4 linked regions of the Coturnix japonica genome follow. The protein of the gene in region 2 purifies or fractionates together with the protein of the main gene of each other region. This does not show direct contact. Links are inferred from orthologs where the notes say so. Each region holds a gene or a part of one and is shown on either strand. Other genes may lie near its edges. The genes, in order: UTP3, IMP3, MPHOSPH10 and UTP25.

What was found.
Region 1: the proteins of IMP3 (region 2) and UTP3 purify together in Homo sapiens (affinity purification with mass spectrometry; 3 studies listed by BioGRID and IntAct, with this or other methods). This does not show direct contact. The link is inferred for Coturnix japonica from reciprocal best matches to the Homo sapiens genes IMP3 and UTP3.
Region 3: the proteins of IMP3 (region 2) and MPHOSPH10 purify together in Homo sapiens (affinity purification with mass spectrometry; 4 studies listed by BioGRID and IntAct, with this or other methods). This does not show direct contact. The link is inferred for Coturnix japonica from reciprocal best matches to the Homo sapiens genes IMP3 and MPHOSPH10.
Region 4: the proteins of IMP3 (region 2) and UTP25 purify together in Homo sapiens (affinity purification with mass spectrometry; 3 studies listed by BioGRID and IntAct, with this or other methods). This does not show direct contact. The link is inferred for Coturnix japonica from reciprocal best matches to the Homo sapiens genes IMP3 and UTP25.

The regions. Positions count from the first base shown.
Region 1 is NC_029519.1:44,616,790-44,624,283, forward strand, and holds UTP3 (something about silencing protein 10), read left to right. Parts: upstream 1-2,558; 5' UTR 2,559-2,592; coding exon 2,593-4,230; 3' UTR 4,231-4,302; downstream 4,303-7,494. Other genes in the region: protein RUFY3, read left to right, coding at 7,336-7,494. UniProt on the Homo sapiens protein: Essential for gene silencing: has a role in the structure of silenced chromatin. Plays a role in the developing brain. Part of the small subunit (SSU) processome, first precursor of the small eukaryotic ribosomal subunit.
Region 2 is NC_029518.1:100,138,943-100,145,913, forward strand, and holds IMP3 (U3 small nucleolar ribonucleoprotein protein IMP3), read left to right. Parts: upstream 1-3,298; 5' UTR 3,299-3,346; coding exon 3,347-3,904; 3' UTR 3,905-4,431; downstream 4,432-6,971. Other genes in the region: PLA2G7 (platelet-activating factor acetylhydrolase), read right to left, coding at 317-464, 892-960, 1,608-1,701, 1,864-2,014, 3,083-3,207, 4,966-5,020. UniProt on the Homo sapiens protein: Component of the 60-80S U3 small nucleolar ribonucleoprotein (U3 snoRNP). Required for the early cleavages during pre-18S ribosomal RNA processing. Part of the small subunit (SSU) processome, first precursor of the small eukaryotic ribosomal subunit.
Region 3 is NC_029525.1:4,860,185-4,868,294, reverse strand, and holds the start of MPHOSPH10 (U3 small nucleolar ribonucleoprotein protein MPP10), read left to right. Parts: upstream 1-3,240; 5' UTR 3,241-3,256; coding exon 3,257-3,526; intron 3,527-5,264; coding exon 5,265-5,344; intron 5,345-6,408; exon of another isoform or gene 6,409-6,925; coding exon of another isoform or gene 6,926-7,078; intron 7,079-8,110. Other genes in the region: MCEE (methylmalonyl-CoA epimerase, mitochondrial), read right to left, coding at 6,926-7,078. UniProt on the Homo sapiens protein: Component of the 60-80S U3 small nucleolar ribonucleoprotein (U3 snoRNP). Required for the early cleavages during pre-18S ribosomal RNA processing. Part of the small subunit (SSU) processome, first precursor of the small eukaryotic ribosomal subunit.
Region 4 is NC_029518.1:20,191,370-20,199,485, forward strand, and holds the start of UTP25 (digestive organ expansion factor homolog), read right to left. Parts: upstream 4,830-8,116; 5' UTR 3,184-4,829; coding exon 3,083-3,183; intron 1,932-3,082; coding exon 1,892-1,931; intron 971-1,891; coding exon 721-970; intron 1-720. Other genes in the region: MRPS10 (28S ribosomal protein S10, mitochondrial), read right to left, coding at 5,063-5,149, 5,411-5,500, 6,509-6,617, 7,042-7,181. UniProt on the Homo sapiens protein: Component of the ribosomal small subunit processome for the biogenesis of ribosomes, functions in pre-ribosomal RNA (pre-rRNA) processing. Essential for embryonic development in part through the regulation of p53 pathway.

The sequences.
Region 1 (7,494 bases), on a different chromosome or scaffold from region 2:
AGTGGTTTCCGTGACTTTCTGCTTGCTGCAAGGTTAGTTTATTCATGATTAATAGTAGCACATAGCAAATCCTGTGCTGCTCCAGCTTCTTATGCAGCAGCCACAGTGATACAAAGGCTTTTCACACTGCATGTGCCACTCTTGGCTCCCCAGGGCTCTCAAGAAGCTCACGTCATTAGATAACATTGCTTCAGACCTTGCTAGCCAGCTTCCTAAGCACAGAACTGTTCATAAAGCCCGACATCTGCATTCTGAGCTTTTTCCCTTGGCACAAGCATCTAGCAAGGTGGATGCATGATGCAAAGAGCTTTTGTGTTACATCAGCAGTACTGAAACTCAAGGCTTCCCTGGGGAGGGATGGGTGATTATGATGGGTGCAAGGAGGGCATTGCCTATGCTGTAATTAATATAAACCCTCCTCTTTTAGCAGGGCTCCATCTGCATGGCAGGAGAACTTGCTTTTACTTCATCTCCCTCACCCCAGAAAGTAATTCAAATAGAGCACTGTGGAGTTTCTTTATGAAGCAGGAAGATGTCCATCTTGTGCAAAAGGTTACAGGTAAACCTGGCTAACCAGGGTGAGGAGAGGCAGGGGGGAAATGTCTATCTCAAACACTGTTTTGGTCACTTTTTTTTTATTTATCTATTTATTAATCCAAGGAGAGATTTTTTGAACAAGAAGGGAGAATGGCGACAGTAGAATAAAGCACATTCAAAAGAGGCCTTTTCTGGTCTATTTTGCTTATCTGCACTGATAGAAATATGGCACTGATAAAATTTGAGCAGATGTATCCATAAGTATTTTAAAACTTGAATGGAGAGACCATGCAGAGTGATATTCTGTGTGATTCTGATTATTTCAGTGTTTCTCCCTGACTGCGGCTGTTCAGTGTATCTGAATTTCAGTTGCTAAATCTGCATGTCTACGTGCATGGTCCCATCAGTCTTTATTTGGTGGCATGAGAACTGTTTTTAGTCACACTCAGCCACCTGCATCTCGCTGAAGATTTCTGTCTAGCTTGTAAATTCTTTAGAAGACACATTAAATGACCCCAAAATGATCTGGGCAAGTAGGCATTAAAGAACTGTGCTAGCTGAGGAAAGGCCTGGCACACCATTACTCCAGGCTTGAATCCTGGGCTGCATGGGGAGCTAGACTCCTGCTCTGCATAGGAAGTTTCATGAATGTTACGTCTCATTTGCCAAAACCAAGTTATTGTCTCTACGCAGCCCTGTTAACCAGAGGAGGTGACACCTGACAATTGGCTCTGACAGATCTGAAATAATGTGTATTTGTCTGTGGCAAAATATATCTTTGGTTTGTAAGGAAGTATGGAAAATGTTGACTGAGATGTGACTATGTTGAAGAAGAGACTGAGGCTGCTCTGCAGTCAGATCTGCCAGAATCCAAATGAAGCACCAACAAATGAGTGATGTGCACACCTCCCCCTGCCCCTGCCCCCCCTTCTCTGTTTCAGTTAACCTTAATGCTTGCCTGACGTTACTTTTTCCACGAGAAGGTGGATGTGGGTATGTATAAATAACCCAGCACCTGTTGTGTGGCTAGAGAAAAGCACCTGTGCTTGTTTTGCACAGAACTTCTCTTCCTAGGATTGTGTGGCTGCCAAATTTACCGGACTCGGGGGTTTCTCAGACCATGCTGAGCTCTTTACTGTGCCTTCCTCTGCTCTTACAGCATCTGGCTGTCTGCATTTCTTTCAGTCTACTTGCATGTGGCTCAGCCTTCATGTGATTTCCCAGTGGCAAGATGGGAGGCTAGGCTGTGTGCTGTGTATCTGAGAACAGGAACAAGCAGCCATACAGGATGTGAACGTAAACATCAGGGAATATAGACAGCCTTAAAGACCTTTCTGATGAGGCCTGGACATGTTTGTCTATGGCATAAAAGGGTTGATCTAAAGGAGCACAAATGAAGCAATAGCCTGAAGCAGCACTGATCCCCAGCAATGGCTCCTGCCAGAAGATGCCCCTGCTCCAGGAGGGCAGCAGTGTAGAGAAGGAGGTGGAGTCAATACACATCCCCCAGATGGGTCCAGGGGGTTTTTTCACTTCTCCTCTCTGAAACTTCGATCTGGCTACAGGGAACTGAGTAAGCAGCGGTTTTGGTGAGCAAGCACACAGATGGCAGGTGGCTATTCTGCTTTTTTTGTCAATGTCACAATGTGAATATATGCAGTCAGTGCATTGGGATGTGGCTGTACTTTTAGAAGGGCTCTTTCCACATAGCGTGACTCATTGCTGGTGCATGCCAGGGTTGAGATAATCCCAGTGTGGTGGCTGCCACATCCCCCAGCACCAGCTGTGTTACTCCCCATGCGTTACCATGCCTGCCGTCAGTTCATACCCAAAACATGCTTGGCTGAAAAGAACCACATCTGGACTCGCAGCTGCACTCAGGTCTTCCAACCACAAAACCCCTTGTCCGGGAGCCTGCCCCTCCCAGTGCCTCCAGATGGGCAGCGCTGAGCACGGCCACCATCCCCACGGAACGCCGGGCGGCCGGAACCAGCGGGACTGCGCCTGGAGTTGGGGGGAAGAGTTAGACAACCGGACAGGAAGCGGGGTGAGCGGATGGAGCGCAACAGCGGCGCCGGAAGCGGGGTCTGTGTGCAGCCGCTTCCGCTTCCCGGCACAGCCATGAGGACGCGGCGCGGTACCGTGCTGAGGCCTAAGGAGGGACCCGCCGACCGACACGATGATGGAGAGGGATATGAAGAGGAAGTGCCCGGGCGAGACGTGGGACCCGAAGGCCTGGGGGACGAGGTGGAGGATTTTCACGAGGCGCGGTTTCGGGAGGTGATGGCGGCTCTGGAGAGCGGGGAGGAGGCCGGGGACAGCGAGGAGGAGGAGGAGGAAGAAGAAGTACTGGGACTGCAGCTGCCCGAGGAGGAGGAAGATGACGAGGAAGAGGAGGAGGAAGATGAAGGTGAAGGTGGTGAGGAAGCAGGGGGACTTGAGTCTTATGAGGACCGCAGTGCAGAGGAAGATGGGGGAGATGAGGAGGAGGAGGATGAAGATGAAGATGAAGATGAGGATGAGGAGGAGGACCTGTCCATGGAGAGTGATTTGGAAGAGCGTGGTAAGGACACTGATCTCCCCCATGAGCTGTCCTGGGGCCGACGCAAACAGCTGTACTATGACACAGACTATGGGAACGATGCCCAGGCTAAGGGCAAACGGAGCCAGCAAGATGTTGATGCTGAGGAGGAGGAGGAGGAGCAGGAGGCAAAAGTGATCCAGAAGAGGCTGGTGGAGGACTTGGGGGAAGATGATTATGGGCTGGATGTGATCCAAGGCTACGTGGCGGAGCAACAGAAAACCCATGATAGCAAGGGGCAGAAGATTGCTAAGGATTTGCAGACCCTTTCCAAGAAGGAGCAGCTGAAGCTGTTGAAGCAGGAGTCTCCTGAGCTCCTGCACCTGATTGAAGACTTTGAAGTCAAACTGATGGAGCTCAAGGATGAGCTGCACCCACTGCTGCAAATGGTCAAAAATGGCACCATCCCACAGGGGAAAGGCAGTCGCTATTTGCAGACCAAGTATCAGCTATACTTGAATTACTGTGCCAATATCAGTTTCTATTTAGTTCTGAAGTCAAAAAGGATACCGGTTCATAGTCACCCCATCATTGAACGATTGGTTGCTTACAGAAATATCATCAATGACCTAGCAGTGATAGATCAAAAGTTATCCTCACAGGTTCGCCTGCTTCTGAAAAACTATTACGATAAGAAGGAGGAAAAGCTCCGAGAGCGGAAGAAGTTTCCAGTGCTTCTCCAACCAGATGCTAGGAAAACCAAACGAAAAGGTGAATCTGCTTTTGCTAATGGCCAACTTGCTGCTGAGGAACCGGCAGATGAATCTGACCTGGATGGAGAGGCTGCGCTAAAATACTATAAGATGATGGAAGAGAAGCTGAAACTCAAGAGGAAGAGAACAGAAGAACAGGAAACATTTGAAGAACCAGTGACAGAAGAGGATCCAAACCAAAAGAGAGGTGTGACTTACCAGATGATCAAGAACAAAGGCCTCACCCCGAGGAGGAAGAAGATTGATCGCAACCCCAGGGTCAAGCATCGGGAGAAGTTTAGGAGAGCCAAGATTCGCCGGAAGGGCCAGGTCCGGGAAGTTCGGAGGGAGATACACAGATATGGTGGGGAGCTCTCTGGCATTCGCGCTGGTGTTAAGAAGAGCAGAAAGCTTCAATGAAACTTATTTTTCTCTGTTTCAGAGAGCTGCAAATAAAAGTTCTGAATGCAATAAATTGTTCTGTAAAAGATACTGTGTTGGTTTTGTTTGTTTGTTTGTTTTATCCTTAAGTGGGAGTTCTCCTTTGAGAGTTTTTTGTGTTCTTGTTTGTTTCTTTTTTTAGGAGGGTGCTTTTCAGAAGGTGCCATCTCTCAAAGTAGTACAGGGCCCCTCCCTCACTTTGCTTGTTAATTTGTTTTCCTCTACTGTTATGTCCTATGTTATGAATATGGCTTTGAGAGGCTGCAAGGCTTGTGTCAAGCGAGGGGATGGATGTGGACCAGACAGGGCTTGAGGGCAGCAGGAGAGAGATGGAAAGTCCTTTGGAGGGTGGGGTGAGAAAGGAATTCACTGTTCACTGCCACTACATCCTTACTGTGTTCTCCTGGCCCGTAGGGCTGAGGTATAGTTAAATGGTTATGGTATTTCCTCTTGATTTATGCTATGATTAACTTGTTTTCATACAGTTAAGAATTAACTATTACACTCTCCTAAATATTCTTTCCTTAGTAACTAAGCAGAGGCTATTGCCTTAAATTGCATATGACCTGTGAAACCACTTCCCCTTCTTGATAATTCAGTGAGAAGCAAAATGAGGACTCTGCTGGACTGCATAATTAATTATTCATCTACCATAACTACATTAGCTTAATCTGTGATAAATGTGCTAACTGTTGTTTGCTGTTACAGATCTAACACAGCATTGATAGAGGAGAAACAGGTAAGATGTCATGTTATTTTCACCTTATAGTTAGTATGATGTTACCAGAGAAACCAAAATACGAGTGTGTGAAGCCATGACAGGCTAGGTGTTCTATTTAAAGTATGCAAACAATGCTCAATTTCTGCATACAAAATGCACTTCTATAGGGCTTAATGCAAACCATTCTATCTTGGGCCTTTTCCTGCCCAGGATCGTGGATTTCTTGCTGACTGCAGAATGTTTTGTTATTTTTTTATAGCTGTTTGTTAGAGGTGAAAAAACATCAGACACCAGATGTGTGGAAATGGAGGTAAGGAGACCTTCTGTAGTCTTTATGTCCCAAATCTGTGTGGTAAGAGCTATGCATGGCAGTCTCAGAGGGGATTTCAGTCGGCAAATCTATGTAGCTCAAGACTGAAAGGACAAGTTCTGCAGGCCTCACTGGTCCTGTGTTTGTTTGCCCCCTGCTGCTCAAAGGCCAAACAGCAGTTCAATACTGCGTAATGGCCAAAAACAGAATTGCTCAATTCAGGCTCTTACTGCAGCTCATTGTGAATTGATTCCCCTCCCCATGAAGTAGCCCTGGAGGTCTTTGCCTGCCTGCAGAGTTGTGGTGTTTCGTACCACAGGAGGTAATGGGAACTAATGAGTGTGGATGGTAGTGGAGAAGTAAACCTTGGTATTTCTGGTCAGTGCTGAGACTTGTCTGTGCTGTTAGCAGGTCTGTGTGTAGGGAGGGGAAGGGTTGAAGGTATGTACAGGAGAAAGGATTCATTTCTCATGTCCTGAAGCCACAGCAGTGAGTGTTTTAAGGCTGAAATTGCCATCTGAAGCCCTGCAACTGACTTCTCCACAGAAGCTCAGCCCCTCAGGTTGGGGCACTTGCTGAATCTTTGTTCAAGGAGTGTCACCAATGCAAACATGAGGCTTTCTTGAAGAGGTCATACAAAATGCCTTTCTTGCTTGTGTGATGCTCTTGCTGCCCTTATAGCACCGAACTACATCATTCTATTGACTGCACTGGGCCGACAATGGAGGCCACCACTGGCAATGCTGAGGCTTTGGGATGAGGTCAGTGAAAGGTAATGTGGTAGGGAAAAAGCAGCTTTGTTGGTAATAGATGTTACAGGGGATGTGAGAAATACCCTGCAGAGATGCTAACCGATCTCATTACTGCAGCATCTGCTCGTGCACATTTCACACTCTGTATGAAAAAGAGAGGCTGATGCACTTCCATAAATTGGCAGATAAGCTGTGAGTATCCTCCATGGCTTTGGATTCCCTTGAAAAGCTTTAGGCAGCTGGGGAGCAAAATTCTGGCACCTTCCATGTGAGCAGTAAATAAGGGATATACACTGTGATATTCTTACAGGCTCACTGTTCCAGGAACGCTGGGGTTAAGGCTGAAGGCGAGAGCAGGCAGTGTGTGTCAGCTGCCCACTGCAGGCAGCCGGCAGATGGCACAGCGTGTCTCCCAGGACTGCTGCACCAACCCGCTTAAATGAAGATTAAACGTGGCATTTTGTTCAGTTGGTTGGCTCAGAGATCGGGCATAGCCATAAATACTCCTTTCCAGTAGGGCTGTGTGTATGAGTAATCACGACTGTGATTATTACCATGGGAGGGAGAACACCACAGTGTTGCTCTGATAAATGCTTCTTAGAGGTACGTTTTGTGATGTGAAATCCCTGATGGTGGGTAGGTTTTCAAGACCCCTGTAAAAACAGATGCATGTGAAACACGGGAAGGACCGTAGGCAATAGTCAGGAAAAGAAAGTGGAGCGGGTTGGTGGTTAAAATACCATCTTTTTGTTCTCTCATTCAGAGTGAGCCTTTGGAAGTTGGAACTGAACAACTACATAGCAGCAGAGAGATGGACAGCGCTTTCTGCATCGCAGCGCGGATGTTGTGTTCACACAGGGTAAGGAAAACGTGTTTAACGACTCAAAAGGCAATACATTTGCTGCTGCCTTCACTTTTATAGCTGTCTAACGTTGCGTGCCATCAGCAACAGTTAAGACATGATTTTACCCCGGCTCACAGCGGTGATTACACATCTCAGAACCAAAGGTCAGCATTCCGCAGCGCCTTCAAGCCCCCGTGAAGGCAGCGGTCGCACAGTGTACGACATGTGGCAGTGCTGTAAGGCAGCCCTCCTTCCCAAGCACGGCCTCCCCCCGCTCGGTGTCTGTCCGTCGCTCTCACGCCGCACTCCGTGTCCGCCGGCTCCCCGCCCCTCACACGCGTTATGCGGGCGGGGCCGCGCCTCCTCCCTCGCCCGGCGTGTCTCGCGGCCGCGGTCGGCTGGGGAAGCCCTTGTCGGGGCCGGTCCGACGCTCCTTCCTGCACGGGCCGGGGCGGCGATGGCGGAGGCGGAGCGGGCGGCTCTCCTGCCGCCGCGGGCGGAAAGTTCCCGGGACGGGGTTGGAGCCGAGCCGCCTCCCGGCATGGAGCGGCGAGCCGAGCCCGGCCCGGAGGAGGCGGCGGTGACAGAGGAGGCGGACGAGGAGCGCCCCGCCTCG
Region 2 (6,971 bases):
TAGGAGGATGTTGTTAAGCACACAGGAAAGCAGGCTTGTACCGCTGCCCATTTGGCCCAGTGAGATAAACAGTTCTCTGGTTGAGTCTACAATGCGTGGAAGAAAACACTCCCACCTTTTAAAGGTCGGCTCAGTGCTTGGAAGAGCTTATCGCTATGGCTGCATGGCATCCAGCAGGGATGCTGCTTATCATCAGGAAGTTGCATTGTTTACATTGCTATAAACCACGTTAAGTGTGTTGAAGGTGACAAAGCAAACAACCCCCTTAAAGCAGACATGATTCATCTCGCTATCCAGCAATAAACAAGAGCTGTACCTGCTGGTGCCGCAGACAGCGCTCCTCCTCCCCTGCCCTGAGCTTCCTGTAGTAGATCCACTCCTTCTCCACACCTGACGCAGCCTCCTCCTCTGGCTCAGAATCACCCTTCTTCTTACAGAAATACGTTGCTGAAGCCGATTCATCTCTGAAATAGCAGCACAAGGTTATTTTGACGTTGTATTCCATTTGGCTTGGGAAAAAGTCCAACAAAGCCTTAGTTTTGACCTGTCTCAAGAGATCAGAGCTCCCAGCCCCACTGAGTGCAGACAAGACCTTGCAAACAACAGAGTAACCCCACCAAAAATCCCATCACCGTTATGTCCTGTGGGTCCTAACAGCAAAAAAGAGCATGATAAAGAGTGACAAACGATAACCACCCATAACAATTCCACTTAAAGCCTCCAAATTAATGTCCCTTTGTACAGCCAGGTGGGAACAGAGCTGGATGAGCGGGAAGCTGAAGCTGAGATGTTAGTTGCTCTTATAAAAGCGAGTTCTCCTACACAACAAGAAGCATTCTGTTATGAGAAAGTTCCTTCCCAGCACAGCTCAGTAACATGCAGTACACACACCTGTGCTCCACAGCTGCCACTAGAAAGCCTTGAGAAGCCATCTCTATGCAGATAGCGGAGTAGATGGTCCTGCAATCCAAAGACACTCTGGTGACCACAGGTACACAATGTTTGGTTACACGGCTCCTTAAACACTCACTGTGCCCCACTCTATTGTGCCTGTTTCAGCCAGCAGGGCAGGCTGTGTATCCCAGTCCCCAAAGGGTGATTTTTGGTGCTTTTTTGCTTTTAGTTGCAGCTCATCTTCACAACATCCTTATGGCTCAGTAAATACCTACACCTCTAATATACAATCACAGAATGGCCTGGGTTGGATCCTGGATCCTCAAGGATCATGAAGCTCCAACCCCCCACCACAGGCAGGGCCACCAACCTCCCCATTTAATACCAGCCCAGGCTGCCCAGGGCCCCATCCAACCTGGCCCTGAACACCTCCAGGGATGGACGGGGCATCCATAGACTCCCTGGGCAGCTGCTCCAGCACCTCACTGCTCTTTGACTTCAGAACTTAACAGGGAAACAAACTAAGAAGCCAACCCTGCCTCATTTACAGGCCTTGATTTCAATGGAAGCATAGTGATATACAGCACCCCATTCTTTGCATCATGTTCAGCCCCACAGGGATCTCGCCCCACCCTGAGACCCACTCAGCACCATTCCTGGATGCTGACATTACTGTGGACAACAAAGAGAGTTTGCCCACGAGCTGCAGTTACCTGAAAGCTCCCAGTCCATGGGAGAAAACGAGCAGTGGGTATTTTTCTCCTGGCTTAAAAGCAGCGTTAGATTTTGCAGGACAGGTCACTGAACCTACATGAAAACAGAAGCACGTGTCATTATTACTGAGATGAGAGACCTACAGACCCGCTCTGTAGGAGATAGCTCAGTAACCCGAAGGCTGCAGGTTTCAGAGTGGCCATCTGAGCATCAGTCTGATTCTGCACACACCTGGGGGACCAAACCCGCTCTTACCAACATAGTATTGGAAAAGCCTTTCCCCCACAGCCCGGTACATGTTGAGGAAGTCACACAGCCCCTGGTAGTACTCTTTGTCCGGAATCCACGGCGTCTCTTCAATCTCTGTGTCGTCACATGATGGATAATACAGGCGCAAAAAGCTGCCCTGGAATTAGCAAAAAAACAAAGGGAAGATTGTAATTTATTGATGTATGGCAATGAAAGGTCAGACTTACACCTGCTCCACCTGTACCTTCATCACAGCATGGTTGGGTTGGAAGGGACCTCAAGGATCACGAAGCTCCAACCCCCCACCACAGGCAGGGCCACCAACCTCCACATTGATACCAGCCCAGGCTGCCCAGGGCCCCATCCAACCTGGCCTTGAACAGCTCCAGGGATGGACGGGGCATCCACAGCCTCTGGGCAGCTGTTCCAGCACCTCACCACTCTCAGAGCAAAGAACTTCCTAAACTTACACCAACGTGTGACACAAGGGCAGTGAAGGAAGCAGCAAAGCTTCAGCCAGACGGGTAATTATATTAACTCAACCCCAGGGTAGTCGCAGTGAATTTCCCCTGATGAGCAACTGCTGAACAACACAGGGAAAGGTCCATTGCCATCACTAGGAATTGTAACTGTGCTCAATGCTCTAAGGGAAGGCTGACTGCAGAGAGAAACCAGCCCCGTTGTGGTGCTGTAAGAGAAGCCAGGTGGAGCAGAGCAAAACCCACGGCTTATCTCTGTGACTGGGTGATACCTCACGGGCCTGGAGAGCAAAACTGCAGTGCAAGATGAAAAAGCAAGAGGATATGAAACAGAAACTCGTAGTTAAGCCCAGCAGATGGTACTGCCGTTCCTGCCTTATCGTGGTGTCTCCCTGCACTACCGACACCCTGTTCTCTGGGCAGACACCATCTCACCTCTCACACTCCGTCCTGCAGCTGAAGCAGCTTATCCTCACCACCAGCCCCCAGCCCCCAGCGGGACCGTCCCGAGCACAGCGGGCAGAGGGAGCCGGGATGGGGCCAACAGCTGGACGGCCCGTGGGACACACGGCTGGGGGCTGCTGGACCCTGAGCTGTGCCCCGCCGGGATGGGATGGGGTGGGATGGGATGGGGTGAGACGGGACGGGACGGGACGGGACGGGATGTGATGCAGGCTCAGCTGGGGTCGCGTACATCAGCCCTGCACACAATCACGCCGTCCATCGGGCTCATCCCGGTGCCGTACCTCGGCCGCGTTGCCGGTCATCAGGTCCGTGCAGCCCACGTTGTGCGGGCCCTTCCCGGCGGGGATCCGGTAGCCCCTGTCCGCGCCGCCGCTGCCCATCTCCGGGGCTGCCTTCGCCGACAGACCTGGGGACAGAACGCCGTGTAAACACCCCGGCTCGGCCCGGCCCGGCTCCGCCCGTCGCTCGCTCCGTGGGGGCGGTGCCGGCCGTGCCCCGTCGCTCCTCCCCGGAAGGCGCCGCGTGGATCCGGGCGGCAGCTCAACATGGTGCGGAAGCTCAAGTACCACGAGCAGAAGCTGCTGCGGCGGCTGGAGCTGGTGAGCTGGGAGGCGGCTCCGGGACACGTGGCGGAGCTGCGGGCGCTGCGGCGGTTCCGCGTGGGGCGGCGCGAGGACTATACGCGGTACCGGGCGCTGGCCCGGGACATTCGGGCCCTGGCGCGGCGTCTGCGGGACCTGGGCCCGGCCAGCGCCGCGTTCCGCTCCCGCAGCTCCGCGCTGCTGCTGCACAAGCTGTACGCCATGGGGATCGTGGGCTCGCGCCGCTCCCTGGCCGTGTGCGAGCGCGTGTGCGCCGCCTCGTTCTGCCGGCGCCGCCTGCCCTGCGTGCTGCTGAAGCTGCGCATGGCGCAGAACATGCGACACGCCGTCACCTTCGTGGAGCAGGGACACGTCCGCGTCGGGCCGGACCTGGTCACCGACCCCGCCGTGCTCGTGCCCCGCGCCATGGAGGACTTCGTCACTTGGGCCGACGCCTCCAAACTGCGCGTCAAGGTGCTGGACTACAACCAGGAGCGGGACGACTTCGACCTGGAGGCGTAGGGACGGCACAGCCGGGCTGAGATACACGGGGAGAACACAGAGCTGCCAGCCCGGCCTGCACACAGCACACACAGCACTGAAATGAACTGAGCTGCTCTGCCCACAACACACACACACTGCATGAGACCTCACTGCGATGCTGCCAGACTAAGCACACCGAGGTGCCGGGCTCACCCACCAGCTGCAGCTGCTCCCTTGCTAAGGATGGCACTGAAGGAGCTTTGCATGAGGCCAAGCAGCCACTGCAGGGCTGTACCATGTGCCCAGTGCTGCTGCCACCCCAGGAAGGCAGGAAGGCTTCTCCAGCCCAGAGCAACGTGCCAGCAGGGAGGGCTGTGCAGTCAGCGAGGGACCCAGTGGTGCATAATGGGACTGTGGGTGTCTGGGCCTCACACAGACAACAGACAGAAGCGGACTTGGCGTTCCTGTGACAGCTCAGAGCGGGGCAGGGCAGGCTGCAGCTCCATGCTGGGGGTGTTAGTCCTCAGCCCAAAAAGGCAGAAATAAAATGTCCCATTTTGAAGAACTCCCCGTGGTGTCTCTTATTGCCTTTCCCTGACGCTTCCCGGGGCTGTTGGTGTGAGCAGCACTTATCTCACTGAACTGTTCTGTGCCACAGCACCGTGAGCACCATGCTCAGGTTGTGTTTGGTCACAGTTCCAGCTTGGAGAAGGGAAGGCTGCAGGGAGACCTCAGTGTGGGCATCCAGTACTTGAAGGGAGCGAATAAACAGGAGGGGAATGGCTGTTTGTGAGGGTGGGCAGTGATAGGACAAGGGGGAATGGTTTGAAACGGAGACAGGGGAGGTTCAGGTTGGATCTGAGGAGGAAGTTTTTCCCCCAGAGGGTGGTGACGCACTGGAACAGGTTGCCCAAGGAGGCTGTGGATGCCCCATCCCTGCAGGCATTCAAGGCCAGGCTGGATGTGGCTCTGGGCAGCCTGGGCTGCTGGTTGGTGACCCTGCACACAGCAGGGGGTTGGAGCTGGGTGAGCACTGTGGGCCTTTGTGATGCAGGCCGTGCTGTGATAACATGAATAGATGCAGAAAAGACGTTCCTTACCTGAAGAACGACTCTTCATGAACAGCTTCCGAGCTCTCACCCACAGCGATGCCATCACTTCTCAGGAAGGGCAGAAGGTCCCACAGGGTGCAGGCAGCTCCCCCTGCTCTGCTCAGGGTTGCTGTAGCACAGGGCTGCTCCCCACGAGGCAGGATGGAAACCTGTGGCTGCACACCACCTCCTTCCGCCCTGAAAGAAACCATCACACCCTTCACTTGTGCACCAGTGAGTCTCTTTTTAAAGGCTTTTTTTCCCCGACTCTGTTCTGTGCTCTGTTTGGAGGCAGCTGAGGGGAGGAGCTGGCCTGGGGACAGCGGGGGGGCTGGAGGGGGGTCCTTCACACTGAGGCCTTTGTGTTGGACCACAAGGCTGAGGCTGTCACTGGAATACAAATGTGCTGCGCTCAGCTGCTGTTCCAGTCAACACAAACTCTGCACGTGGGGGCAGCCTCCAAAGCCCGGTGTTTCAGCGCAGCTTGGCAGGGAGATGATCCAGCCTGGGCTGGTATCAATGTGGAGCTCAGTGGCCCTGCATGCAGTGGGGAGATTGGAGTTTTGTGACCCTTGAGGTCCCTTCCAACCCAGCCATTGTGTGATGCTGTGATACTCTACCCCAGTTTCTGCTCAGAAGAGCAGGAGGTGTAAAGTCCATCAGGCCCTGGTGGCAGATCCTTCAGCAGAGTCCAGAGCTCAGCACATGCCCAGCTATAGCTCATGGGGCTGAGCACTGCCCAGGTAACACGTCCTGAGGGGGCTGTCGCTGCCCATCAGCTCTAAAGGAGCCGGGACGGGGGCTGGGATCTCGCGGGTGGGACGGAGCCGTGCAGGGCGAGCAGGGACAGCCCGAGCCGCGCGTCAGCGCCCCGTCCCGTCCTGCGTCCTGCCGGGACACCCGGAGCCATGTCCGATGACGGCGCACTTTCCCTTTCCTCCCACCCGGCGGAGCCGACCAGCGCTGCCGCGTCCCCCCCCCCCAAGCTGCAAACCCCCTCCCACCCCCCCTCATCTTATCGGGTGTGCTAATAACGCTGTGAGCTCGGTACGGCTCTGAGCTCCTCCCCGCCCCTCGCAGCACCGCCGCCCCTCGGCTCTCGTTGCCCACGGGCAGCGCTGCCCGTACCTGCTGTGCTGTCCCGGCCCTCCGCAGGGAGCCGTGAGCCGGACGGACGGACGGACGGAATGAACACCGGGCCCTGCCGGAGGGGAGGGACCAAACCCCGCCTCACTTCCCAGCTGGGACGGTGTTTGTGGGAGAGGCTTTTCCCCGAGCTTGGAAAGGAAACGTGCCCCGTGGGAGCTGCGTCTCGTGGGGCGAAATCCGGCTTTACGAGCAGCCGGGAAGGGGCCAGCAGCCCGTTAGGGGTGAGCCCCGCAATTCAGTGCCGGCTGTGGGCGCTGGGAGCTGCTCGGGGCCCCACGGATGGCGCAGATGTGCCCATGCGGTGTTGGCCGCTCCGCAGCGCTGACTCGCACATACACAAAGTGAGGGCTCCCAAATCGCATCACAATAACAACAGAACACACGGAACGTTGTGGGCGGTTCTTTGGAGGGGAACGGGAAAGTCGTGAAAGTGCCCAAGGCTGGAAATATCTCCTTTAACGCCGAAGAGAGGCGTTGGAGGACTGATCCCAGAGCTCTGTCTCATCACAGAGCAGGTTTTTCAGGGTCAGCAGGAGGCGGCCGGGAGGAGGAGCGTGAATGATTGCATTAACGGGGATCTTGAAGCCAATGACAGGGCTGTACCCAGCTGAACAGCTCCGAAACCCATCAGTATCATACAATCACAGAACCATAGAATGGCCTGTGTCACAAAGGCCCACAGTGCTCATCCAGCTCCAACCCCCTGCTGTGTGCAGGGTCACCAAGCAGCAGCCCAGGCTGCCCAGAGCCACATCCAGCCTGGCCTTGAATGCCTGCAGGGATGGGGCATCCACAGCCTCTTTGGGCAACCTGTGCCAGTGCGTCACCACCCTCTGGGTGAGAGTGTTGTGGCACTGAGGGACGCG
Region 3 (8,110 bases), on a different chromosome or scaffold from region 2:
CCAAATACTTAGAGAGTGCATTCTTCCTTTTATCTACACCAACATTAAAATATGAATTTATCAAGTAAATATCTCCTCCGCATGAGGCATATAGTAACGTATTCGTTTATCAGCAAAGGTAATGATAGTTGGCCAGCGTATCATACTGATACTACATTCTGTCTTAGCTGAGATACATGGGTAAGTCTAGTTCGTCCTAAAAAAAGTTCTGTGTCGTGTAACATCTAATTCTTGTATCAGTTAAAGATAGGCACAAACATACAACTATTTGCAGGACGATATGAAAATTCAGGTTGGAAAGAACACTGGAGGTGTCTTGTCCAACATTCTGTTCAAACCGTGGTCTTCAGAAGGCCCAGATCTGGTTGTTCAGGGTATTATCCAGTCTGGTCTTAAAAATCCCCATCGATAAAGACCACACAGCCTCTCTGGGCAACCTGCTCCCATGCATCACTGCCCTCGTAGCTGAAAAAATTCCCTAAATATCCGGCTTGAACATCTCTTGTTTCAGCACATGCCTGTTGTGTCTCATTCTCTGCCACACACCACTGTGAGGAGGTTTGCTCTGCTTTCTTGATAACATCCTTGTAAGTACTGGAAGATTGTCCTCCAACTCTTCCTTTCTCGAAGCTGAGCAATCCCCACTCCCAAATTCTCCTTTCATAGGGCCTGGCCTCCAGCCCAAACCACTTGGGTGGCCTCTGCTTAACACACTCCAGTTCATAAACATCTTCCCTGTACTAAGTGTGCCAAAAACTAAGCACGATTTTACAGATACAGTATAATTAATGTAGAGTAGAAGGGGATAATTACTTCCCTTAGTCTACTGGCTGTGTTCCACACAGACCAAGATGCTGCTGGCCATCTTTGCTGCTAAGGCACACATCTGGTTCATGTGCAGGTTCATGTCCACCACAGCCCCAGAACCCTCTCAGCAGTGCTACTCTCCAGCCTCTATTGTTGCAGTGGCTAAAAGCATGGGCTATTTTATTCAAGCATGGATTCAATAAGAAATGGATACAGAAGGTCATTAACTCTAGGCTTCCTCAAGTGAGGATGGGTTCAAGGTTTCAACCAACATTTAGTTCTGAACAAGAAGATCTTTATTTTTCTCTGTGATGTGGGAACCAGGAACAGATCCCTTCTTGCTGGATTTCTTCACCTTCAGCACAGGAACATAACATGGAAGAGGCTTAAGCAATGGTATTTTGGGAAATTAGCAAGCATTCTTGTCAGAACAGCTGGAGATGGTACAATTACACTTGAAGTAGTTCTTCATGTTTACAGCGTTAATCAAAGGTCACTTCTTATGGACCTAGCTCTTGTTAAAATTTATCTCCAGCCTCCAACTTAAGCTGGCATCAACCAAGTAACTCCACAAAAGATCACTCTTCAAGATGCCCACCCCCCCCTTAGAATCATAAGACTGACCAAAAAAGCTGAGCCACCACGACGTTTGCAGGAACTCTTTTTCTTTATGATTAGAGGATCAGGGCGAAGCAATAACACAGCTGATGATTAGGGGCAACGCTGCATCTTTAAAAATAGCCTTAGCTATTTCCAAGTGCAGATAAGACCGAAACTATCACAGAATTTAGGCTTTGGAAGCCTGACAGTCAAGGTTTACAAGGACAGCTCTGCAGCGTAAAACGTTATAAGCCTATAAAGGAAAAAGTACAGCAGCTTCCCCTTCTGTGGTTCAGTACCCATAGCACAACATACAGAAATAAAAGGTCCATCCACCTTGACTGTCCCACACAGAGAAGAATCTGGATTATATAGTGATCAATTTCCATCTCATGCTGTAAGAAAAGCTTCAATCATATGCTTTTCAATATACAGATAACCAGCACGTACTGTGTTTTTACTTTTAAGTGCTGATAAACAATTACACAAAAAATTCTCTTTAAGATTATCTTATGTAGAAATACTATTGCTTACACACAGCCACACAGAACTGTGATAGCAGTTGCTTCTGTTGTTCATTTCTGCTGCTAAAATGAGGGAGCACTGGGCAATAGGCAGAATAGATAGAATACCTTCTCTGCAAACAGATTTCCCAGCCCCCCTCCATGGAGATTATACAGTGGCCTTGACAAGGTAATACAACTGAGACATTTCCATTTCTTACCCAAATGAGCCACAGTCATTTCTGACTTTTCTTAACCCTCAACGTAATGCATATCATCTTTGAATTGCAACCAGATTTCTGTCGCCTTTATTTACACTCCTTATACGCCCTCAGTGCCATGCAGCAGCCGCCAGGATGACACTGAGGATGCTAAGTACAGAGCCCTGTAAGCGCAGGCTGCCGAGGCAAGGAGCCAGCCCTCACCTCTCGAGATGCAGCCAGAAACGCAGCATTCCCCTCCTCTCCCCCACCCCCATCCCTTTTGTTACGGCAATACAAGAATTGGATTCAAAAACTGCTCCAAAAGGGGAAGGCAGATCACCATGTAATGCCTGCTGCTGTTTATCCCAGGAAAAATTGGGAGCCCCTCATGGAGCAGCTTTTTCCCCTCCAGATCTGATGACGAAGGGAGCGGGGGAAAAAAAAGAAAAAAAGGATAAAAAAAAAAAAAGCTAATGACAATGTTTGATCCGTTTGCTGCATGGGAGGCATGAAATCAGAAACAAACTCCTAGCGGTGCTGCATTGCATGAGGGCTTCTCCTGCGTTTCGTCTGACCATTAACGGACCCTCGAGCCTCCAGCCCTGCAACAAAACCCTGACACTGTGCGTGTAGCCGCGCCGCCCGTCTGCACCGAGCGCCCGCATCAGCGCACGGAGCCGAGCGGAGCCGGGCGGGCCGGGCACAGCGCTGGGGGCGGCCGTCCCGCGGGGAGCACAGCGGCACAGCGGCCGCCCGGTGCAGCGCCCCGACCATCCCCGCGGGCTCCGGGCGGCCGAGGGGCGGCGGGAGGAGAGCGGCCCCGCGCAGCCCCGCACGGCCGAGCCCCGCGCCGCCATGCCGCAGGGCTGCCCCCAAAGCCGGAGGGTCCCCCCTCGGGCACAGCGGTTACCGGCGGCGGGGGACGGGCCGGGGGCGGCCCCGCTGCCGCTCTCGAGGTGCGCGGCGCCCGCTCGGGCCGAGGTTCGCCCGCTCAGCTCCGTGAGGCGCCGCGGGGCTCCCGCTCCCCCGAGGAGCCGCGGGGATGCTGCCGCCCCACCCGCCAAGGAGCCCCGGCCCCGCCGTGTCGCCGCCCGCGGGGTCCGTGCCCTGCGGCCCCGCTTCTTACCCTGGCTGACAGCCGCGATGCCGGTCCCCACCCCGCGCCGCGGCGACCGACACGGGGGCAGCAACCGCTCTTTTGTGTGCAGCCTCGGCGCCACACACCGACACGGCTGGTGGGCCCGGGAAGCTGCGTGCGAGAATACAGCCGGCCGCCCGGGAACATGCATGGCACATAGCGCCACCGCCGCGGCGCCAAAGGGAGACGGGGAGGAACCCGCCGCGAGCACCACTCGATCGAGACCCGCGATTCGAGCCCGACTCAGCACCCCGCAGAGCGGCCTGAAGGACGGGGTATGGCTACAGGGGGGATAGGGGTAGGAGTAGGGGTAGGGATAGGGATAGGGATAGGGATAGGGATAGGGATAGGGATAAGGATAAGGATAAGGATAAGGATAAGGATAAGGATAAGGATAAGGATAAGGATAAGGATAAGGATAGGGATAGGGATAGGGCGAGGGGAACGGTTTGAAAGTGAGACGGGAGGTTTAGGTTAGATATTAGAGGAAGTTTTTCACACAGAGGGAGGTGATGCACTGGAACAGGTTGCCCAAAGAGGCTGTGGATCCCCATCCCTGCAGGATTCGAGGCCAGGCTGGATGTGGCTCTGGGCAGCCTGGGCTGCTGGTTGGTGACCCTGCACATAGCAAGGGTTGGAGCTGGATGAGCACTGTGGGCCTTTTCAACCCAGGCCATTCTGTGATCCTGTAGTTTTCCAAGAATGACATTTCTTATGGTCAGTGACAAACCCAGTTGGCTTCTCGGTCGTTTTACCAGAAACAACGAGATCTTCCCACAGGGAGGTGATTGCAGTTACTGGGTAAATTAAGGAGAACATGTGAGATGGAGTGCTGCTAGGCCAGTTATGACAGGACTTGCTCATCAATATGCAGATCTCAGACTTGTAGTTATTGACTCTAAAAGGCAATCTTTGTAATGACAGCAAAAGTGAAAAGCCGCCTTAATGTCATTGTATTGCGTTCTGGTCAGTCTCGATGTTCACTCTGCATCCCGTCCAGCTTGGTACGCTTTGTTTGCCCTGCGGTAGCTGTACCAGTTGCTTAGCACCAACTCAAATTCCATCTATATGCAAAGGCCTTTCATGGAAACCCAGCTCATGGATTTTTTGTTTGTTTAGGTTCAATTTCTATTAGGATTCACACAACAGCTATTTGTTATTAAGCTGCTACATTTATCTTCTTTTCTTTTTGTCTGTGGTACCAGCCACTGATGCAGAAGTGAGGTTTTCCTTCTCATTTAATGCAAAATGTCTGGTCTCTCACAGTTACTTGTTACTTTAGAACTTTTTGTTTCCTTTAAATCATGACTTAAACTTATCTTTATTACTGGAAAAAATGCAATGTAAAAGTGAATTAAAAGGTTCATTTAACATCTTATGGAAGATTTTAGTACCTGTGTACTATTTTTATGGTAACAAAGCGTTAACAGTTAAAGATCACTTCAAATTACATCTAGAAATGTCACAAAATACTTCAAAATATATCTACTTTAAACGTTTGGAAGAACTCTTCCTAACTTGTGAATCTATGCTGTACATTGAGCAATTAACTGTGCTTTTAATAACGTGAGAGACAGTGCAAATGAACATGAAACACCAGAGATAGCATAACGTTATAAATACTAAAGGACTATACAGTTTTATGAGGCAAACATTCCTCCTTCACAATAAAGTAAATTTGCATTTCATAAAACATTCAAACTGCTTTAAAAACATTTATCAAAGGTGATAGAATTTGTGTTTCCAAGAAGGTGAGATCTTCCATTTTAAAGTGTTGGCCAATTCCTTTGTAAGTTCATAAGTAAATCCCTTGTAAGTTGTTAGTTTCCATTTCCATATTAATCTTACACGATTCAACATTCTGTGATTTAAACTATCAGTTTACTGACTACTTCTAGTGCAGCCCAGTACCAGTATGAGAAGTGCTAGGAATTTTCTTCTGCTTCACAGTCTAATAATTTCACAAATACAGTGATAAAACAATTAACTCTTACCTTTTTCTCTTAACTATAGGTTCTGGAGCCCAACAAACCCAAGTCCGTATCACTAGTGGAAGAATTTCTAATAAGGAGAGAATCAGCTGAGCCCTTCCTGTTAGTATCTCACCATTCCCACATTCTGCTGTTTTCCGGTAAGACCTTCTTGGTCACATCAATTTCCATTAATCTGCCACAGCAAGACAGTCCAAATCCAAGGACTGTCCTTAGCAACATGCAGCAATACTTTGGCATGTGCATTAAGAAAGATATCCCATTCAGGAAGTGGTGAGAAGAAGTTTCTCTTGTCATTCATTCACAGCTTTCCAAATGGTCAGTCTCACAACCGTTTTAAATGCTGCAACTGTGGCTTCAAAACAGAAGTTATTCCAAAACTTACGATAAACTGGGTAAAGATGGTAATAATGATCACAAATCCAAACTGATGCACTATTTTTTCTTAAATCCAGGTGGATTAATTGCAGACTGAACATGATAAAACCAGAGGTTTTTCTATCCTAGAATAAAATGAACTTATTTTAGATCAAGGTGGAACAATTCACAGTATGTGCAGGAAAATAAAAAATGCAGGTTGTGGTTTAGCTGGTAAAAATATTATTTCTAAGGACTGGGAAAAATAATGAGAGAAACAGAAAGTATTCAGCTTTTACAGTTGATATCAAAATGAACTTAGAAAAGTATCAGGACAAACACTGCTTGCTTAACACACACAAATAACATGAGGCCTGGCCATGAATAAGTCAACAAACTGTGACTGCAGTCTATGAGAAACTAAGTACACTGGCATGCTCTCTGATGTGAGGAGACTGTACACAACCAAGATTCATGTTTCTTATGCTTTCCAGTGATTCTGTAAGCACTTCTGCATTAGAAAACAGTATTTGTAAAGCAAGTGATTTCCCACTATTTGTTCAGGTGTCTCTCAGAGATCTTCCTAGGGATAAAATCTGAAAACAAGTATTCTCTGGCTGACACAAACAAAAATGCAGGATGCATCTTAAAGTCTGAAATATATCTCTATCATGTCATTTTTCAGACACTTTCTTCCCGTTGTCTGCATATGCAGAGTCCGTATAACAACATGATGATTTACGCTTGTAACTTCCTCACTCATTAACTGTTATGCCAAGGAAAATGTATTTAATGATTTCAGATAGCCATACAATAAAATATAGATTTATTTATTGCACGAATCAGTCAATCAGCATGAAGCACAGACAGTGAATGGCGAAAACAGAAAGTACAATGTTCCCTTTCCCTTTATTTCTAAAGGGGGTATCTAAGCTTTTACTGTTGTCACTGAGAATTGGGTCTCTGCTTTAAAATGTAGAACAAAATAATGTGGAATGACCTAGAAACCGTACAGTTTCTGTGGTTACAGAAGTAAAGCCATGCAGCAAGAACATGAGGCAACAGAACAAAATTACTGTTATAAATGCAGCTTGGCTTAGGTGTACATCTTGAGAATCATAGTGAATTCAAGAAATGTCAACACATTGATTCTGAAAATCAAATGCGGGAAAAAGAAATCTGCAGCACTGTCTCATTGCTCAAAAGCCGTACTTAATCCACAGGAACTACAGTGAATTTGTAAAGAGTGAATAGCACATCAATATTCTCAGCACCAGCTCAGTAACTTCACAACTCATTTATTGTCTAATTTATGAATATTGCAGCTCAGGCTTGCTCAAGTTCCACAAGGACTCCGTGGCAATCTTTAGGGTGAAGAAAAATCACAGGTTTGCCATGTGCACCTATTTTTGGCTCTTCGCTCAATATTCGAATCTTTTTTTTCTTCAGTTCTGCCATGGCTGCTTTTATGTCATCAACCTTATAAAAGAAAAATACTGTTTACAGAAGTTCATCAGAAAATATCCCCAGTCTATGACCTGTTCCTTTTTCTTTTTTTTAAATCAAAATTAATCAGAACAACAGCATTTACCATTACATTTCAGAAGTTTCCTGCAGTAAAATGTAATTAACAAAAACCTGTCTAAACTACATAATGTGATCTTAGGTTTGATGTCACGATATCAAATTGTTTGAATGTCCCCAAACCTTAAATGCATTCATCCTCCAGTGTAATACAATTAGCACTCAGTTTAGCAAATACAATAGTCAATAATCTATAATGAATTAAAAATAATTGCATTGTTTTTTTCCCAGCTGAGGTGTCTGGACATAACTCCATGAATAAACATTCATAACACTATTGTATGAAAAATGCCTTGACTCAGAGTAACAGACATCTGTTAATTCCTACTCGTTTGCTGCAGTTTTGTTGATCAGAATTCAGATCTCCCTACAACTCCTCCTACACACAACTACCAGTCAGCCAGAAAAAAAAAAAAAAAGAGAAAAAGAAATGACTCAAGTGTTATATAAAGAAAGACAGCACAGTGTCAGAAGTAGCCTATAGCCCCCTTCGGGTTGCTTCCCCAAGCAGAAAAGCTACTGCAGCTCCTGCAGAGATGGCCAAAAGAGGAACTGTGTCTGGGCTCAGCTGGAATCAATTTCTGTGTCCCTAAGGAAGCAATGAGAGCAAACAGTGGAAAGTCTGTGGTTGCAATCACATTAAGAGTTTCAGGGCTGGATATCTTACCAAACATTCAGCATTCTTGTCATTGCAGTTACTAATTTCAATTGTAATTCATCTGGAATTACTTGATTTCTTCAAAAAATGCTTATTTTGTCCAAAGCAAATTCTCTACCAACACATCAATATAAAATTTTACTTTAAACAGTGAGACAGAAGGAAGAAATTAAAAGCAATTTGATAAGCTCATCAGACTTCCACCTTAGTACTGAAAGACATTGTTAGAATTCAGCTTTTTGCAGTAAGATTTGTCATGGAAAGTTATT
Region 4 (8,116 bases), about 80 Mb from region 2:
TTCTGAGTTTCACTTTGTCCTTCAAAAATCCTACGCAAAAAGATAAGAATAGGCCTTGTATTTTACCTTTTTTGGGTTGGGCTTTTTTTTTTTTTTTTTTTTTTTAAGCTACCTTTGTCTAACATGCCAGAAGTTAAATAATATAAAACATAATTTCTCTGAGAAAACTTAAGGAAAAATGTATTCAGAGAATACAAGTTTTAGCTTCCAAAGAACCTAAACAACTGAGAAAACAAAGAGTTGACTCCGTCATCCTAGAATCTACTTGGGGACTTCATGAATGAGGATGTCTCCTCATATGGGAGGAGGTTTCCTTAAAATCTAAACACTCTTTCCTCTGCTGTAAGGCAAACCTTTCTCTGTGCTCAGTGGCAGCAGCCAAGCCAGATGCTGTGTGAGAGAACAGCTTGTATCTCCCAGCAAGTGGGTGAGAACCCCTGGTATGTTGCTCCATGTGGATTCTCCCTGCGCTGCTGCACAAACATCTGAGGAAGAAGCAGCAGGCTGGCTGCTGGGAAATGAGCACAGCTACCCTTTGCCCTGCTAAATACTCCAGCAGCTGCTACTCATAATCACAAAGTCGCAATGGAGCAACAGTCTCCCAGCCAGAGGAGCACCCAGCCAACCAGCCCATGTACACCAGGATCAGGGGTAAAACCAGACATTATTCAAACTTTCTAACTGAAACAATAATTGCCAAAGCATAGCAAAAGAAACTACCTTCTTCCTGCTCTGGTACATTATCCTGCTCTTCTTCATCTCCAACAGCTTCTTTGGGCTCCTGGGACCCTTCACTGTCCAGCTCTGCCTCACTCTCCTCAGCTTCTTCTGATTCACTTTCATCTTCCTCCTCCTCACTCTCAGACTCAGGAGATGCCTTCAGGGTAGCCAGAAGCTTGTGATAGACAGAGACTTGTTCCACCTCAGTCTCTGAATCGCTTTCCGCACTTGATTTATCAGAATTGTCAGACTAAATGTGAAAACAATTAACAGCAGCAGTCCATTAGACAGCAAGCAAACACCCTCAGCTCCAGCTCCCATACTACATTTCCTTCTTGTCATTCCAGCCCTTTGCAGATGCAATGAGATTTTCCCCTAATGTCCATTCTATGTGAAGAGTTATCTTGAACATTTCCACACAGATTCTGAAAGGACCATGGCAGACCCATGTCCTGGTGTTTTTTCTGCACTGATTTGACTCAGAGCATCACAAGATTAGTTTCTTTCAGCCTTGGAGAACACATTTGTTCTCGTGGACAAACAGGCCTAAGAACAATGTGCCAGGTTACAGCCAACATCACAGCAAAAACAGGACTACAATCACAGCACCATTCCTTCTTAGCTCCTTTCAGCACAAAGCGAAAACTCAGTAAATGCAATATAAATGCAAAAAATAAAAATAAAAAAGTGCTTAACAGATAAGAGTCATTCATTACTTTTTCCACACTACAACTGTGAAGTCTTTAACTGGTCTGATGACAAAGGAGGTTCACAAGTCCTAACTGAAAGAAAACTGAAGCACTGTAATTTGAAGAACAGAAACGAGCATCAACATTTCTTCATTCAGCAGAGAACAAAGCATCTCATTCTCTAACTCAAGCACCACTGTGTATTAATAAAATAACTTACAGCATGTTTCACTTTTTGCCAGGGCTAAGTAGCATTAAAAGACAAACAAGAATAGCAATATTGTATCCCGTTTCTTCTGTTGTCTCTTGTTGTTGCAGTTACGAGTTTGACACTATACAGAACAATTTGGAATCACAAAAAAAATCATTCATTTTTTCCTTCTAAAAGCAGGTTTTCTAAAAGGAACAACAAGAAAGGCACAGCATTCCACTTCGCTGAACCATACAACAAGTAAAGTGAGGAAGAAATAAAAATATATTACCAGTTCACATATTTGAGTTGCTTCTGGTCTTCCAGAAACCCTGAGAAAAAAAAAAAACACAAAAATATCTTGCTGTCAATGATATTTTGCACAGAATAAACACAGATAAGAAAAGGAAGAAATTGTTGAGCCTCAGAGCAGTTGAAAGAGAACTGAGAGGCAGAGCATCACACAGCTCTCCTTAAGGAAAGAGTCAGGGCTCACCCTGACAAAATCCTCTGAGCTGATGCTGCAGCCTGTGTGTGAAGCCCGGGTGCATGCGATCACAGAATCACAGAATGACCCGGGTTGGAAGGGACCTCAGGGTGACTTGCAGAATCAAACTCTATAATCCAGAGATGGGTTATAAAGCAGGTATGTTTATTCCAGTGTTGCACAGCGCTGGGTGCAAGGGGGATAGCTCCTCCAAACTTGCACAGCGACTTGTAAAATAGTGACACAGATATAGGTACATTTAATACATAGTCAATGATTTCTCAGAATTCTAATACATAGTCAATAGTTCTCGGAATTCTGATACATATTCAATAGTTCTTTAGCATGCAGACCCCCTCTTGTTCTTATCAGGGGGAATGCAACTCCTCTTCTGGGCATCCATGAGGTCTCACTGCTTCTCTGCATCCTCTCTGCTCTCCTAGGCCCCTTGTTTCTTTTACTTGTTACCTTTAAGTTTCCTTTACTTATTTCTATGAACTACCTTTAAGTTTCCTTTACTTGTTTCTATAAACTACCTTTAACTATCCCCCTTTTAGCCCCCCTTTATTCCGAATTTTAGCGGAGCATCTGCTTCCTGCTTCACTGTTCAAAGGATCATGTAGTTCCAACCCCCCTGCCTGGCAGGGCCACCAAACATACACCTTTACTAGATCAGGTTGCCCAGGGCCCCGTCCAACCTGGCCTTGAACACCTCCAAGGACGGGGCATCCACAACCTCCCTGGGCAGCCTGTTCCAGGACCTAACCACTCTCCTAGCGAAGAACTTCCCCGTAACATCCAACCTAAATCTTCCCTCTTTTAACTTAAAACCATTTCCCCGGTCATGAAGGGCAACATTTTAAACTCCCTCCTCAATTCCTGGGGGCTGCTCTCTGGAGCACGGGCTCCTACCCGGGGCACTAAGCACTGACACACCGAGAGGGGTCAACAGACACACGTGCTGCGGGCAAAGCTCATCAATCCAGCAGCGCTCACCGGTCGCACACGGGGTGCTGCTCCCCGAACTGCCGCAGGTGCTTCCTCTGCCTCTTGCTCAGGCCCCGCACCAGCTCCCTGCCGCCACGCCGCTTCCCCATGCCGGCAGCGAGGCGCTTTACGGTACGGCCGTCAAGGGCGGCTGTCGTACTGTCGTACTGCCGTGTGGCGGCGTGCTGAGTGCGGCTGCTTGTGTGGGTTAACGTTTTCCTCAGCTCCTACCTAAGCCTGATCCTATTAAGGGCTGATAACTAAAACTCAGCCAACTGAAAAGCCACACTGACCGGCCGTTTAGTCAGAAACCGAAGGCCCAGAATAGAACAGCAAAGACAATAAAAGACAGCCCTTTAACCTTACTGAGCATCCAACTAGGAGGTGTAAGACTTAGCGCCCAGCACAAGCGCATTGTGATACTATATACAGCCGGGATTTGGCAGGTGGCTTATGTAAAACTAAGACATGTCAATTGGAAGGAATTTGAAGAAAATATCATACAGAATTGAAAGAAGCTGCTCCTCTGGGGCATCATTTAACCAGGTCAGCACATACTTTCTTCCTTACTGTTATATAACTGATATGATTTTAAGAAATGCTATTATTACTAAAAGGAGGAGCAGCTGGAAACTGTGGATAGCAAATAGTTTCAAGGGATAACCAGGCAGTATATCTCCTTCTAAGGGATTTGATTAAATACTTTTTTTTTTTGTTTTCTGGGGCATATTGCAGAACACGCTCAGGCAGCTTCCCCTCTGTCATGAATGGTATCAGTTCTACTGTCTTGAAACACCCACTAAAACAGCTTTGGGCCTCTCTACAACTAGAAAACACAGCTGATCTTCAAGCACAAACTTGGCTTCTCATCTTTCAGCTATTTCCCATTAAAACTGTGTACTTCTGTCTGATAATAACACTAAGCTTCTTTTCTTTAGTGAATGTGAGCTTAAGTACTGCCAGCAAGTATGGTCCAGGCTCTTTAGCTGTCTGGTCATAGGCATTATTTATGTGAATTACTTTAACAGTAGTTAAATTACAGTCAAAATAGGTTTCCACAGCTCTGTGCTACTGCCAGCCTAGTAAAGCCAAAGTGCTTAATGCAGTCTGAAGCCACTGACTGTTCTGCATCTAGCAGTGTCTCTTTTGATTCACAGCAAAGTAACCCTCAAGTTAGCTGAACACCCTTTTGCTATCTGTACTGTTTTTCTCCCTCTAAGCATAACCAGTGTTCAGCTAGACTAGCTTTACTGAATAACCAACCCACCACTTTAGAAAGAGTGGTGCCATGAAATAAAGTATTTAGTACACTGTTTGTCCTATGTACAATGATGCTCTCTAGTATCCATTTACTTTGCAATGTGGTCTTACAGCTACTTAATAAAATTAGACTTAAACCTGTAAAAAGCTGATACTTGTACTGGAATCAATGTGTTGTTCTTTTAGCAAACAGTTAATACTGGAAGTGACGCTATTGGAACTGTAAGAGCATAGAAGAGTCTCATCATGCCTCAGTGTTCCTTAAGATTGCATTCTCTGACTTGTTGCGTGTTAATATGCAAGCTGAATATGCAACTGGGATTTACTTATTTCAAAGCAGCGCTATCAAAAGAACATCTAACAGTTTGGCATCCCTTACCTTAAATATTACACTAACGCCAGCAGGATTTTCTAAGTATTTCAGAATTCAGACGCCACTCATTATCAAATGGAGATCTAGGTTATTTAGGAATATGCTTTATCTTTCTAATAACATTACAGATGATCACGATTTTTGATCAGAGTGTGCAGTCAAGCTTCTTCACTTCATACATGTTCCATCAGTCTACAAGTTCTGGAGCTACGATCAAGAATAACTCAGTAAAACAAGAATATACATGATTATTTTATAAAACAGGACATTTATTTATCAGTTTATCAGACTGTCTTAGTAATTGAGGTTGATAGGAGCAACTAGTTCCAGTACCAACACCCAAATACCTGGTGAATTCATGATTTCACTTCTGTTTCTTCTGCTTGAGGTAGTGTATCCCAAACTGGCTCCTGGATGTGTTCAGGTATTTTCTCTATCTTAGTCTAGTACAGAAGGAAGGAAACGATTTATTATATCAACTAGTCAACATCTAACTGCTTTGCTTTATTTTGGTTTCAGATATTTATTGGATTAATAGTGCCACCTAGTGACGTTTTTCAGTAATACATCCTCCTTTTAATAGTAACACAAAATGGTCTTTACAACTACATGTGTATACTGACTTTCTAACAAATTCAGTAATTATTAGTACTTGCATCTGGATTTAATCTCACAGCAGTTAAGAACATGAGATGGGAACTTACCTTTTTTACTTCCATGGCAACCCCTTCAGGTAAGTTTCGTTCAACATACTCTAAGTACACTGCAGCGGTACTGCCCGTGAGGTGTTTTAACTAAAACAGAAGTCATGTGTTTTATTAATGAAGGATAATACTTCAAACAGAATATAGAAAAGGAGGAGTTTGCTCTGACTTCTCTAGTTTTTGCAGTGGGTCCAAGCATCTTACACTAGGCCAGCTCCCATAGAATTCACCACAGGCAGGTAAGCAGTATGTATCTTATGCAAGTACAAAGCAGCAACTTCATGCAGAACTGTATATACTGTGTGTTCATACGTATTGATTATGATAGAAATGATGGACCTTAATACTGCAAGTATCAGATCAAACTGTGTGTTATGCAAGAACTCTCAGATTTGCTATACCCCTCAACATTCAAACTGGATAGCAATCCCCCAACTCCAGAATTTTACCACGTTCTTGATTCTAGTTTCTCTTGGAAAGCAGAAGTTGTATTTATGGTCTGTGGGCAGCCATCGGCACTGCTCTACTGTCTGAGCACTGAGGGCAGAGACACATTTCACTAAGCACAACTATACCATAATAGACCCTAGAGGCCACAAAATGCCAGCAGTAAACTTCTTCTAAGAAAATCAACCACAGCTGCATTCTAGACCATATATATGTCTGCGTCACCAGCCACAGAGCGAGTGGTTTGTACACACTTCCTTTCTGGTATTTCTCCCCTTCCAGTTTTAGTTTGTCACATGATGCTGCACAGGGCAAAAGCATTCAAAATATGAAGCAAACTCATGGAGAAGAGAATGCTCAGTGACTAGCAATGACTGTAACTTACCTGCAGCATCTTCCCTTCCTTGAGAAAGTTCTTATCCCACAGATTAGAAATTGAGAGCATAAAATATATAAAGGTAACTCTGATACCTACCTTATTTTTAAATCATTCTTCCATATACTTGTCAAAATCAGCCTTATAGGCAGAAATTAGATGGACTGTACATTCAGAACAATTTCTGCTACATTTGATGTACCTACATCAGCTCTCTCTTACTATATTCCCAGCACTACCTAAATCAATATTTCTTCCTTTTACATCTTTCTTACCTCCAAACAGGTGTAATGTGTTCTCATTTCATACTGAACTCTGTGCTTCTTGTAAATGTGTACAGATTTTAACAGTGTAAGTCGTTCTATCGTCTTTGGAGGTCTGTGTCTGAACAAAGTAGAAAGAGAAAATGTTGTAATATTGAATTTTACATAAATGATGTTAATATAAATTATCTGAGATTACAGTGAAATCTGCTCTTATCTGACATTTAGAAGATCCACAAGGCAGTATGAAGTACTGGTACAGTTTAGCATTAACACTACAGCAGCACCGATGACTGTAACAAGAATATTCCTGGTGTCTTTCACGCAGTTACAATGCAATCCTACTATGGCAGCACTGCAAGTAGCACTGCTTCTGCTTTCTCATCCCCACACCACCATCTGGGAAGTGTCAGATTTATATTTTGAGAAAGAATGTCAGATTAAACTCATTTCTTCTACAAAAGGAAAATACTTGTAAGCGCGGAACTAGAGTTACAGCAGATGATGTAAGAAGCATCACATCGTGCTACAGATTGGTTACTTACACTTTTTCAACAGTTATGCCAAGTTCTTTAGCTGCCAGCACTGCAAAATACTCATAGCTGTCCAACACAGCTTTATCGTGGCCTTTAACTAAAAGGGACAGCCTCCGGTAGAGTATTTCTGGTTCATCTGAAATAGACACCTGTATTTTTTAAGAAAAGGCAAGTGTTACCACCCCATGTTCTCCTTTATTAACCCAGTCACTACGTATCTTCTTAGCCCATGTGCCCCATTTGTAAAAGAGGAAAAAAAATACACATGCACATCTCTCACTGCTCATTTGATATTTACCTGCAAGAGGATAACTGTATTAATCTCAATCAACAGTCCTTCATCTTACTGTCCCTGCTAAGTGTAAAGGGAAACCTGACTTCTGAATATTCAGGCAAAATTTCTCAATCAAGAATGCAAAGGGAACGCCAACTAAAAGGGCAACACTTGCAAAGGCAAGAAAAATAACTTCTTTTTAAAGCAAGTCTGGAGCAGCAATATGAGCATTTTAAATAGAAGTGTGAAAATACATGAAATTCTCAAGTTTTTCTTGGTTATCATTATGGTCAGGTACAAGAATTCTCACCTTCCTAAAGTAAAGCTATGTAAACACACCAGTCTTCTCCACACATATTATCCTTCCTATTTGCCCAGGTTAGAAGTCTATGAATCTCAAGTTACAATTTTATGACTGTTAGTTTGACCATTCATTTCTAATGGCCTGGGCCCACTGTTCATCTGAAAAACCCTGGTTTACTCCCGTGCAGTTCAGAGCAGTAACTCCAGCACACAGCAGACATATCAAAAAGGTTGAGTTTGTGTGGTGGTTGAACCTGGCAGGCAGCTCAGCACCACAAGTTGTTCACTCACTGCCCCCTCCCAGTGGGGAGGGAACTGAGGGGGAAAAAAAACAAACCAACAAAGTAGAACTTGTGGGTTGAGACAAAAACTATTTACTGCAACAGAAAAGAAAGAGGACAAAAACAATAGTAATGTAATACATAAATAAATAATATAAAGAAATATGTATCTGTGTATTCCTCTCTCACTCTATACGCATACACAAAGCAAGGGATGCACAGCACA